Saccharomyces cerevisiae S288C: one gene and its partners. The protein of the gene in region 4 binds, or shares a complex with, the protein of the main gene of each other region. Each region holds a gene or a part of one and is shown on either strand. Other genes may lie near its edges.

The links.
Region 1: RPL21A (region 4) and RPP2B share a complex: the UniProt entries of both Saccharomyces cerevisiae proteins name them as parts of the large ribosomal subunit.
Region 2: RPL21A (region 4) and RPP1B share a complex: the UniProt entries of both Saccharomyces cerevisiae proteins name them as parts of the large ribosomal subunit.
Region 3: RPL21A (region 4) and RPL9B share a complex: the UniProt entries of both Saccharomyces cerevisiae proteins name them as parts of the large ribosomal subunit.

The regions. Positions count from the first base shown.
Region 1 is NC_001136.10:1,237,757-1,240,395, reverse strand, and holds RPP2B (ribosomal protein P2 RPP2B), read right to left. Parts: upstream 905-2,639; coding exon 572-904; downstream 1-571. Other genes in the region: NKP1 (Nkp1p), read left to right, coding at 1-436; COI1 (Coi1p), read left to right, coding at 1,546-1,571, 1,766-2,084; RNA-binding protein YRA1, read right to left, coding at 2,392-2,639. UniProt on the Saccharomyces cerevisiae protein: Component of the ribosome, a large ribonucleoprotein complex responsible for the synthesis of proteins in the cell.
Region 2 is NC_001136.10:227,915-231,038, reverse strand, and holds RPP1B (ribosomal protein P1 RPP1B), read right to left. Parts: upstream 1,134-3,124; coding exon 1,020-1,133; intron 719-1,019; coding exon 512-718; downstream 1-511. Other genes in the region: YDL129W (uncharacterized protein), read right to left, coding at 1-15; STF1 (ATPase-binding protein), read right to left, coding at 1,608-1,868; homocitrate synthase LYS21, read right to left, coding at 2,324-3,124. UniProt on the Saccharomyces cerevisiae protein: Component of the ribosome, a large ribonucleoprotein complex responsible for the synthesis of proteins in the cell.
Region 3 is NC_001146.8:498,051-500,810, reverse strand, and holds RPL9B (60S ribosomal protein uL6 RPL9B), read right to left. Parts: upstream 1,131-2,760; coding exon 555-1,130; downstream 1-554. Other genes in the region: YNL067W-B (uncharacterized protein), read right to left, coding at 1,254-1,394; forkhead family transcription factor FKH2, read left to right, coding at 2,522-2,760. UniProt on the Saccharomyces cerevisiae protein: Component of the ribosome, a large ribonucleoprotein complex responsible for the synthesis of proteins in the cell.
Region 4 is NC_001134.8:604,552-607,689, reverse strand, and holds RPL21A (60S ribosomal protein eL21 RPL21A), read right to left. Parts: upstream 1,421-3,138; coding exon 1,410-1,420; intron 1,022-1,409; coding exon 550-1,021; downstream 1-549. Other genes in the region: RIM2 (Rim2p), read right to left, coding at 1-38; 40S ribosomal protein uS4 RPS9B, read right to left, coding at 2,182-2,762. UniProt on the Saccharomyces cerevisiae protein: Component of the ribosome, a large ribonucleoprotein complex responsible for the synthesis of proteins in the cell.

The DNA of each region.
Region 1 (2,639 bases), on a different chromosome or scaffold from region 4:
AAGTGAACTAAGAAATAGAGTTGAGGGTGAACCTCAGAGTACATCGATAGAGAGATTAATTGAAGATGTGTTGAAGCTGCCGCAGATGGAAGTAGCAGACGAAGAGGAAGTTGAAGTGGAAAATGATCTCAAAGTTCTAAGCGAGTATAGTAATTTAAGGAAAGATTTAATACTGAAATGTCAGGCTCTCCAAATAGGCGAAAGTAAATTATCAGATATTCTGAGCCAAACAAATTCTATAAATTCTTTAACAACTTCCATTAAAGAAGCTTCTGAAGATGATGATATCAGCGAGTACTTCGCCACTTACAATGGGAAACTAGTAGTTGCGTTGGAAGAAATGAAGCTATTATTGGAAGAGGCCGTGAAAACATTTGGCAATTCTCCGGAAAAGAGAGAAAAAATAAAAAAAATCCTAAGCGAGTTAAAGAAGTAATACTATTTTCAATTAATTGTCTATATAGAATCTTATACAGTAATTAATTATTTTTAAATCACAATGGAATCGAGGATTTACACCAGATTTTGTAAAATGAAGGAAAACAAGAAAATTGTTTATTAATTAAATTCCTTAATCGAATAAACCAAAACCCATGTCATCATCAGATTCTTCCTTAGCTTCTTCTTCCTTTTCTTCTTCAGCAGCATCACCACCGGCAGCAGCACCGGCAGCACCGGCAGCAGCAGAAGAAGCACCACCAGTTGGAACAGTAGCGAACTTCTTTTGACCTTCAGCGATGATTTCTTCCAAAGAGCCCTTACCTTCCAAAGAGGACAACAATTCGTTGATTCTGGCTTCATCGACTTCAGCACCGACAGATTCGACGACGGCCTTGATGTCAGCGGCGGATGGGGCAGCGTTACCACCTTGAACCAATAATAAGTAAGCAGCTAAGTATTTCATTTCTGTTGTTGATTAATAGATATTACTTTCTATATTTGAAATAATCAGTTTAAGCGGTAATAAATTCGCGGACTATTCCTTAACGATCTGTAACTGGAAGTTAAATCAAAGATACGTAAAGTAATAGTTTAGAGTAAGTCCAAATATCATCTCTTAAATGAAAAATTTCAGATACCGAGAAAATTTGGAAAAAGAAAATTATTACAATTTTTCTGCTTGGTAACTTTACACGATCCATACTGTAATTTTCGCATTACCTGCGTAATGACTAGAATGGGCACGTGATCATAAAATTAGAGACGACAAGAGCTCTCCAGTATTCTTAAACGGTAGCCCTTGGTTGTGATACAGCCACATGAACAGATTCCCACTGCAGCCTTTTTTGTTGGGTTCGAATAGACAAGATAAATAAGAGCAGTTACACTATATAATATATATATATATATATATATATATATATTACATTACTGACCTCAAAGCATCACAAATGTGTCGCTTCCTTCTTCGCCTTTTAGTTGAAGACATCCTTTTCAATCTTCCTCCTTACAAACCCGAGCGTCCTGCTTGCATATAAAAAAATCAAGGCAGATGAAGAGATAAATATAGTAATATTTCATTCTTTGAGCCGTACTAAGTATACAATGTCAAATCCATTTCAAAATATAGGGTATGTGTAAAAGAAATAGGGAAACATCTATTCGTAAAGCCTAAACTAACATTGGATATCTTTTTCTATTTCCCGGACTTCTTTTTTGGTTATTTCCTTATTGGCCTATCCCTTGAAGCAGAGTTTGATTGCACCATATATATAACCAAAGTGAAGACGAAAGTAGGAAAACACTACCAATGCGATTTCAACAGTAAGAATTTACTATACATTTCTGCAGCCGGGATTGCGTCTATTTATGTGGTCAAGACCATAGTGAAAGCTAGAAGAGATGCTAAATTTATACCAAAGGCGCGGGGAAACAATGGTGAAGTGAATGAAAAAAACTATTATGATAACCTTGCTCAAGTCAAACCAGGGTTCCCCATACCTAAAGATGGAGGAGACAACATTGATTGCTCTGAGGACCATCAATTAGTAAGAAAGAGTAAATATGAAGGTAGCGGGCTTAGTGCTGTAACAAGAAAAAGAGGTGACAAATTAGGTTTTTTAGATAGGAGGAGAAACGAGTAACACACGTTTAATCAACCTATCCATTTTTTCAATGCAGTATTATGTATATATATATTCATCGCACTGTAAATAGTGACATATTATGAGTCAAATATGCCGAATAAACTTTAAAAGTGAGAAAAGCCGTCACCGATGAGTAGGTTAGCGTCACCTAGTGGCGGTGGTAAATATTATTACATAAACATATCAAAGTTTTATTAATACATTTTTTAATCCTTTAAATTTTCTGGAAACTAATACATAATGAAACTCGGAAAAATTAAATTTAATAAAACCAAATTAAATCAAACAAAAAATTGACAATTAATTATTTCTTTTCGAAATAGTCCGCCATTTCCTTGTCCAGATCTTCAAGACTTTTCTTAGCAGGCTTTTCTCTCTTTGGTTTGTTTTGGGATTTTGCCATAGCAGCTTTTCTATTTGGACCCCTCTTTACTGGTCTTGGAGCGTTTCCGCCTTTTTGTGGCATAGCCTTGATCCTGTCGGCTAAACTTTTGACTGGGCGTTGGTTTGGATCAACGATTAGGTTAAGTCTCAATCTTGATCTGCCTCCAT
Region 2 (3,124 bases), on a different chromosome or scaffold from region 4:
ACTTCTTAGCTCCATAGCCAACAAAATGTTAAATTCCTGTATGCCGTAGCCTTGCCCGCGTTTCGTATCAAAAGGGATGAGAAACTAAAGTGCTCAAATTTTATACGTTTCTAGTGCCTTATAGGTGTATTGCTAAGCCTGTAAGGACCGACGTATGTCCAACTTAGGGAGCTTTACATGTGTCAAAGAACCTTTCATTCCCGATGAGTAAAAATTTTAAAAATGTGCGCGGGAGAAGCTTCGGTCGGCGTCGCCATCAAAGGGCGAGCAACCATGGGTTTATGTAATTTTTGGTTGCTATGGTGACGACAGGTCTGATATCCCGCAACCAGGGGCTATCCCGCAGTGCCATTTCTAGCAAAGAACGAGATGGTTAAATTCTCGTAGCCCTTTCGTATGGACATTACTTCCGATTTTTAAATACTGATTGATTAGAGGTTTATTTTATATGTAAATATATATACATAAAGGGTAAAAAAACGTTGCAGAAAAAATGACTTTCCTTGTATGTTTAGTCGAATAAACCGAAACCCATGTCGTCGTCAGATTCTTCAGCAGCTTCTTCTTCTTTTTCTTCTTCAGCAGCAGCGTCACCACCAGCAGCGGCAGCGCCAGAAGCAGCACCAGCACCAGCAACAGGGCCAGCGTTATGGAAACCAGATAGGATTTCCTTCAAGTCCTTACCTTCCAAAGCCTTAGCGTAAACATCAGCCCAGACCTAATTCAATGATACATATAACAAGCTCCATAGGAAGAGTCGTTATTCGTTGAGTTTGTTAGTAAAATGAGATCCTTGAAGAAGTAATTCGATCCTGACTTGTGCTTTCCGTTAAATACGTTAATGGAGAAATATTTCTACATGTATTGCCCCCTAGTATCTCATCATGTTAGAGGGAAACGTTACATGGAATTTTTCTGTCCCCCATTATTCAAAATTGCGCATTTCTCGGGACGATTGTTGTCTAATCTTTCTCTTCGTAGTCACACAAAGTCGTTTTAGGTTGCATTTTTGTACATACGTTGTCGACATTAGCACCAGCGGCCTTGGTGATAGTCAATAAGTTGTCAGAGGTGATTTCCAAACCAGCATCAGCTAGGATGAAAGCAGCAAAGGAAATAATAGAGTCAGACATTTTCTTCTTAGTTGTTTGATTTCTTTGTTAGTCCAAGATTAACTGAAACTGCAATTCGTAATTTAACCTTGAAATATCACGAAGGGGCTTACAGATTCAACATCAAATGCTTATTTGGTATTACATTGGAAACTAGTTTTAGCAACCGTTAGCCGGAAGTTTCAATTCTAAGATTTCTCCTTCGCGCGACACGCAGAAATGAAAATTTTATTTTTTTTTGCGTTTCATATAATCCTTCTGATGTACGGATGTTTTGTGTAAGATATGTATGGGTTTAAAGGAATATCTGAGGAGCAAACTGAGGCGACGTTTCTCTAACTGACGGTGTTCCTGTATTCGTGACGTATATACTATATATAATGTGCAGGCTTATAAAATACCACTGATGTTCATTTCCTAATTTTGATTTGGCATGATTGCTTCTTTCTACGTACAAAACGTGTCTGCAGAACCTTTAGCCTTAACAATGACCAATCACTTTGAAAGGTTATTAATTTTGTTTTCTAAATTCTCTAATTTTTTCTTGTGTTCTTTTAGTTGTTCCTTCACATGTGCTAATTGTTCCCTCTCTTGTTGTCTGGCATAATAATCCTCTTTGGCACGTTCTCTCTTGATAAAGATATCTTGAGGATTACCAGGTCCGGCACCACCGAGAGGACCATCTGAATAAAAGCGAGAGGCAATTCTTAGGTTTACTGGCAGCCTGGTATTACGGGAAATGCAACGGTTTAACATATTGATAGCGTGTTTGGTTGGATGACTGGGTGAAAGTGCTTCTTAATATCTACAATGGAGAGCTCAATTTTCTTATGAACGACTGAACTAAATATAATAAATAATTCCCCAGCCGCCCCCTAAAAGATAATAATGATGCTTGAAATAGTTAGCAAATAGAAACCGATCATTTGACGTATATAGTGATCATTATCATAACGGAAATACTCCGTGAGAGTATAATAGCGTGGGGAATCGCACAGAGTCAATATTCATTGATCTCAATTAATTGATTAAAATACCCCGTCTTCAAGCTAGATGCAACCGCCTCAATTGAACATCGGAGTAGGAGAAAAAGCTTATTGAATAAAGTTGACGTAAATAGTAATTTTATTACGGTAATCGCCAGTACTTAAACACCTAATAACGCCCAGTATGTGTATGTTTGAAATATGTGTACTATATATATAATGAAACTATTTGGTGACCTTTGCCTTTTTAGAAACATGCCCATTGGAAATATCGATATTGTCGTCATCTGTACCCTTATTTACTGGTTTTAAAAGTGGGGTGCTCAATTCTGCATGGAAGTCCTTGATAATGGAGTCTACATCATCAATATTTAGCGGTCTGACATCACCCAGCTTCTTAATCTTAGCAGTAACTTCCTTGATTTGATCATCCGTCAAATTCAAGTTCAATTGGTCGACTCTTGATTTGATTGCATTCCAACCAGTTAGTCTGTTGGCGAAGTGGATATATCTCTTCATACCGAAATCGTGAGGGTCCAAGATTTCGTAGGTAGATGGGTTAGCCAAAATGGCCTTGGCATGGATACCTGCTTTATGTGTGAATGCACAGAACCCGGTGATAGGGTTGTTGAATGGAATGTTAACTTCCACAGCATCAGCGACCAGGTTTTCGATGTCTCTGATCTTGTGCAGCTTGTATTTAGATCTGACATAGTCTGGTGCGGCAACAATCATTCTTGCCATGAGCCCACCTAGAGGAGTGATACCGTTTCTTTCACCAATACCCAGTACACTGACGTCAATCAATCTGGCACCACCTTCCAAAGCAGTGTAGGCGTTTGCAATGGCACAACCGGTATCATTGTGGAAATGGCATTCGATGTCACATGAGACAACACTCTTCAAAGTTCTGATCAGTTCATATACTTGTCTTGGGTTGGCACATCCAACTGTGTCGGCAATACCGACTCTATTTACACCGATCTTGTCAACGGTTTTATAAATGTTCAAAAGATCAACGAGATC
Region 3 (2,760 bases), on a different chromosome or scaffold from region 4:
CCTTCCACTGCGCTTTGTTTACTTTTCCTATAAAAAAAAACGTTGTCGTTTACGTCCTAATAGAGAAAAGAGATGCTTCTGTTCAGTTTAACCAGTATTAAACCAGCATATATGTCGGGTAACCATATTTTTATGTTTTCATTTCGAAACTTGCTGGTACACCCAGATATCATTTTGATTTAAAGCAATAGCCGAAGAACAAGAGAAAGCTACGGGTATGATTGCAAGACTCAAGAAAAAAGAAAATCATTTGTAACGTATTAGAGAATATTTATTTTTTAGTGTTTCTTTCCTTTACCAAAAAATATGCAATTAGCATCAATAGAAGAAAAAACAAAAGCAATTTGAGAAAACGTAAAGTGGCTCTTTATTTCAATGAGCACTAGCAACGTTTCCCCTTGACAGCATTCCCTAGAGAGCCTGTCAATTCATCATTGGAAGTGAGGCACATCCAATGACAAAGAACCTCAGTCTTTACATAATACTAAATAAAAAAGTAGGAATAATGTACATATTTAAGCGCCTCTAAGCGCAAAGACACTTTTTTGTTCCATTTACATGTCTTCGACAATGAAACCCTTGTGGGAAACGTAGATACCATCCAAAAACTTACGGATATCCTTGTTTCTAACACGACAGATTTGTTGCAAGTCAGCGGCATTTTGGGAAACGTCTTCAACAGAGTTACCAGATAAGACGATTTCGTCCTTTACGTTAGTAGAGAATTCGATAGTAACACCATCTCTAACTGGGACGTTTCTGATCTTCTTGTCACCCAAAAAGTTTCTGACTTCAATGAATTTAGCACCATCCTTTTCAACAATGTTGACGTTGATTGGGAAATGCGCGTAGACGTATCTCATCTTGTACTTGTAACCCTTGGTGACACCAGTGATCATGTTGTCAACCAAAGATTTAACGGTTCTCAAAGCGGCAACGTGCTTTCTGTCACCGTTGTGAACAGCAACCTTGATCAATTGGTTGTTGACCTTGGTGAAGGTAACATCAATATGCTTCAAGTTCTTGGTCAAAGTACCTCTTGGACCGACAACCTTGACGATTCTGGACTTAATGCTGACAGTAACACCTTCTGGGATTTCAATTTGTTGTTCGGTTTGAATGTACTTCATCTTTAGTGACTATTGGAGGCTAGAGTTTGGTTTATTGTCGTTTCAGAGAGAGAAAATGAACTATTTCAAAAAGAGAATAGGTAAAGGGAAAGGAAATAGAAATATGGTTGGTAATTTTTTTTTTCATGTTTGCCGTCCGTTTAAATAATTTTCACTTTTCCTGTGCGTCGCTTTAAAAAAAAATTCACTAGAAGAAAAAAAAAAATTCCCAGTTAATAGTGCAGTCTTGGAAACAACACCAGTGCACCACATGAGTTTACACATCAGATGCAAACGGGATCGTACATTCGTAACATTGATGCTTGTATACGTCTCTCCTATAGTTCCTGGCAAGCACAACGTGTGACACAGAAGAAATGGCAATGCTAAACATGAAAATAGATTTTCTTGGCTGTAAGTAAATCGATTGCAAAATTGGTTCCTACCGCTACGATATCACACACTTGTCTTCTTAAAAGAGGAGCAGTAAATCCAAAATTTGCCTGGCATCAATAGTCGTCTTAAAAATGTCTAGAGGAACTACCTCTGTTATCTCTTCTTTTTGTTACTGACATACTAATTAATTTTTACATAATTGCTGTCCTCCTTCCCCTTCTATTTGCGAATTAGAAGTGATGAAAAAAGAGCTAAACATAAAGAAAAAAAACTTCCTTCGGCTGGTCCAAAAGGGTCCAATAGCAGAAAGTAAAAAGCTATTTTGAAACTATAGAACCTCAAGAACATTAACATTTGAGTCGGATCATGTCAACTGTAAGAACTGAATATTAATTCAACATATTTTAATAATTTGTGTCATATGTATCTTGCAACAGGCTTTCAAAAATTTGCTGCCTGTTGGGTACAGGCTGTTTTTTATTGATTACGCTTTATGCTTATCCCTTAAGCTGCAACATTTTGATGGCCTCTTCTTCCTGTCTCTTTCTGTGCCATATAATCGTTCCCTTAGCATTGATGATGACTTATGCCGGACCCCGCCCCAGAACCCTTCGCACAACATTACCGAAAATCTTCGATTTCGCTCATTAAAAGAGGGAAAAAAAATTCGCTCGCCCTGTGCCATTTGGATTTTCTAGGTAAATTAGTAAATAAAGAAAAAAAATGCCAATGGTTCCGCATTTCTAAAGGTAAACAAAAAAGTGACATTCATAGGATCACTATATTTCTGTAAAACTTAAAACACTATAGAGCAGTCCTTTTCCACTGAATTGAACCGCTCAATAATCAAGATCATACTAAGGAACAAAAGGCTAAAAACACTTCAAAGCCAATCTTCCCGATTCCCTCGCATAAGTGATCATTGCTAGAAAAAAAAAAAAAAAACAGTACGATACACATAAATATTGGTGTGCTCCCTCCGTTTCCTTTATTGAAACTTTATCAATGCGCAAGAAATGTCCAGCAGCAATTTTAACGAGATGAACGAACTAAATATGACTCAAACAAATTATGGCAGCACAAAATATACCGCTCAGCATCATCAAGGTGTAATAAATGCCATCATCTCTTCACTGACAGCCCCAGATCAGCCAACTACCGTATCATTACAATATTCCAACGACAAGAACATGGCGACGGAAATACAAGCTTATGCTAAACTCTCCGGACCAAACTGGACCTATTATGTGAAGGA
Region 4 (3,138 bases):
GCATCCTCTTCCCATTCTTCAATGGATTTTTTAGGCATCTTTATCTCCTTGAAAAATTATGGGATATGAGAATGGTCAACTATGTAAGTAAGTAGGTGACTTTGACACAATAAATATAGGACCACGTAAAGACAAAATCGTCCGATTTTTTTACCTCAGTTAGCAGTACTTCAAAGAACAGTTTCTATAGAGAACAAGGCTACCCCTTTATACAAAGTTGAATTCTCTATGTGAAGTTAGACTTTTACCATTATTCTTTTTAATTTTACTTCTTGGATTTTGGCGTAAGGTTAATTTTTCACTAAGAGAGAGCCCGAAGCGAGGATTCAAAAGAGATGCTCAACGCAAGTAATATCTGGATGACATGAAGTGACTGTGTTGAGTAGTCTATATAGGTCAGAATAAAGAACCAAAAGAAATAATCTAAATGTACAAATTATGGATATTAGACACAATTTATTTTTTATTATATTATATATTTAAAAATAGACAAAAAATAAAACCTAAAACCTGAAAATCTTTTTCGATACAAAACCAGCATCGGGTAAATTAGATGAAAGTTTCGTATGGAACTGGGGCCAAAGTTTGAGGAACGTTACCTTCAGTAGAAACGATACGGGATTCTCTTGGTTGAGCTGGTTGTCTCTTCAATTGAACAGCAACACCTTGAGCCTTAGCTTCAGCACGCTTAGCAGCATTGGCCTTAACTCTTTCCAAAAATTCTTGTCTACACTTGGAGTGCTTGATGTGTTCAACTCTTAAGTTTAATCTTTTTTCTAGATATCTGTTACCGACCATCTTGTTGATGATAACACCAACAGAAGACTTAGTAACGTTGTAGACAACACCGGTCTTACCTTGGTAAAACTTGTGTGGCATACCCTTTTGGATAGAACCATTGGCTTTGATGTCGACAATGTCACCAACCTTGTAGACCTTCAAGTAAGTAGAAAGATGGACGGCACCATGCTTTCTGAAGTCACGTTGGAACATGTAACGAGTACGAGATCTGTAACCGTGTCTGTATTATAAGGAAATAAATCAAAATTAAGATTTATAAGAAATCATGTTAGTATTCTATTGTTTTGCGAGTTTCTGAGATGCGTCCCAGCACATAACCGAATGTTTGGAAAAAGGGCTTGTAATTACTACACTTCTAATGTTGAACTAATTTTCAAAGCAACGACTGTAAACTAATGACTTACAGCCCGTTAAAAGCCTATCATGTCACGTAATTTTCTCAGAATCAGTGTAGCATCATCTTATCTGCCCAATATTTTGCTCTAATGATATGTTTGCTTTATTCACACTAGACACGTCTTTAAATCTTTTTATTTCTGTGACGATATGTTCGGTTTGAGATACCATGATTCGTTCGTGCTGTAGATTCATAGGATTAAATGACATACGATTTACCCATTGTTGCTAGTTATTTTTGTCTTGGTTCTCTTATTCCAAAGTTCAATCGGTAATGCCTGAAATTGCACACTACTTTCTATATTATCTTTACCAGACATGACACTCCATTGGTGATAAAATTTCACAGAGGCGCAGAGACCGTTTACCTTTCCAGCTCTCGTATTGTGGCCCCCACCGCTGCCTGGGCTTCCAGCACGGCCACTAGTAGCGGTGGGCCAACACATCAAAGGAGGTTTGGCAGCGGTGCTTTTCCTCGGTTCTGAGCATGTTCTAGCGGCTGGGAAAAAGGCGATATTCAAACTCATCCTTGCCTCCAGTAAAAAAGGGTGTGGTGATGGTGAAGATGTACAGGTGTAAAACTGTCAGACTAACAAGTATAATATTGCGATTTATATTATCGAGATATATTGAGGTCAAGAGATATATACCAAAGTGAATGCAAGATGGCATGGAGAATTAGCCTTTAAATATTAACGGCTTCAATTTCTGACAATAAGGATTTCTCCAAGCCAAGGTGTAAAATCCTAAACGCTACTGAGTTGCAGTTGGGAATTTAAATCCGATCAAAATCTTCTAGCTATTTACGTTGGGTATTGAGTAATACTTGTGTCATCCAATGCCATGTCATCTTGCAAGAAAAGCGCCAGTTATGTACCTCTACCCATTTTCAAATGAAATAAAAATGACAAAGTAAAATGAAAAATGATCCGTGATTTGAAAAGTTATAAAATTTATTATACAGTTATGAAATCAGCGAATTATTTATTCTTCGTCTTCGGCTTCTTCAGCAGCTTCACCGGAAGCTTCAGCCTTTCTAGCAGCGTTTCTTCTAGCAACTCTACCTGGTCTAGCACCACCGAATGGAGAAGTTGGAGCGAAGTCAATGTGCTTTTCAGAGTCCAATCTGACCATGAAAGATGGGATGTTGACGATTTGCTTACCAACAGCAATGTGTCTTTGAGTGATTAAAACTCTGGCGTGGTGGACAGACTTGGCCAAACCCAACTTGTAGACTTGAGTTTGCAATCTTCTTTCCAAGAAATCTTCAACCTTCAAAGCCAAAACATAATCCAACTTCTTCTTGTCTTCGGACAAGACACCAACTCTAACCAATCTTCTGATCAAGGCATTACCTTCGAACAATCTCTTTGGGTCCTTTTCGTCTCTAGTTAACAAGTCTCTGGCAGCACGACGAATTTTAGACAATTGGAAAGAAATTCTGTAAATTTCTCTCTTGTTCTTCAAACCGAATTCACCGGCCAACTTCAATTCTGCGTCCAAACGAGAAGATTCGTAAGGTCTCTTTGGTGTAGAGTAAGTCTTAGAGTAAGTTCTTGGAGCTCCTAAAAAAAAAAAAGTAAAATTGGATTCTTGTTAGTCAAAAGTTTTCCCGGAACAAAAGTCTGCAAGGGCCCAAGTAAGTGCTCATAAATATTGTAGAGATATGATTAAAAACGCATAATTAGGTATCCGCCTTGGAAAATAAAATACTGTCCCATTGTTACGAGAGAGATGTTCCCTATTAGATCACCTTGATCTCTAATGTATCCCTGTTTAACTGAAGTGTCGGGAGTTCAGTGTAAATAAAGATATTCATAATATGGATAGTAATTCAGGCTGTTGTCGTGCTACTCAATGAAGGTATACTATTATGGAATTTCATATTCTCAAATATTTATGAGGACCCGAACCTCTTTCAAAATCAACGAGTCAGAGTGA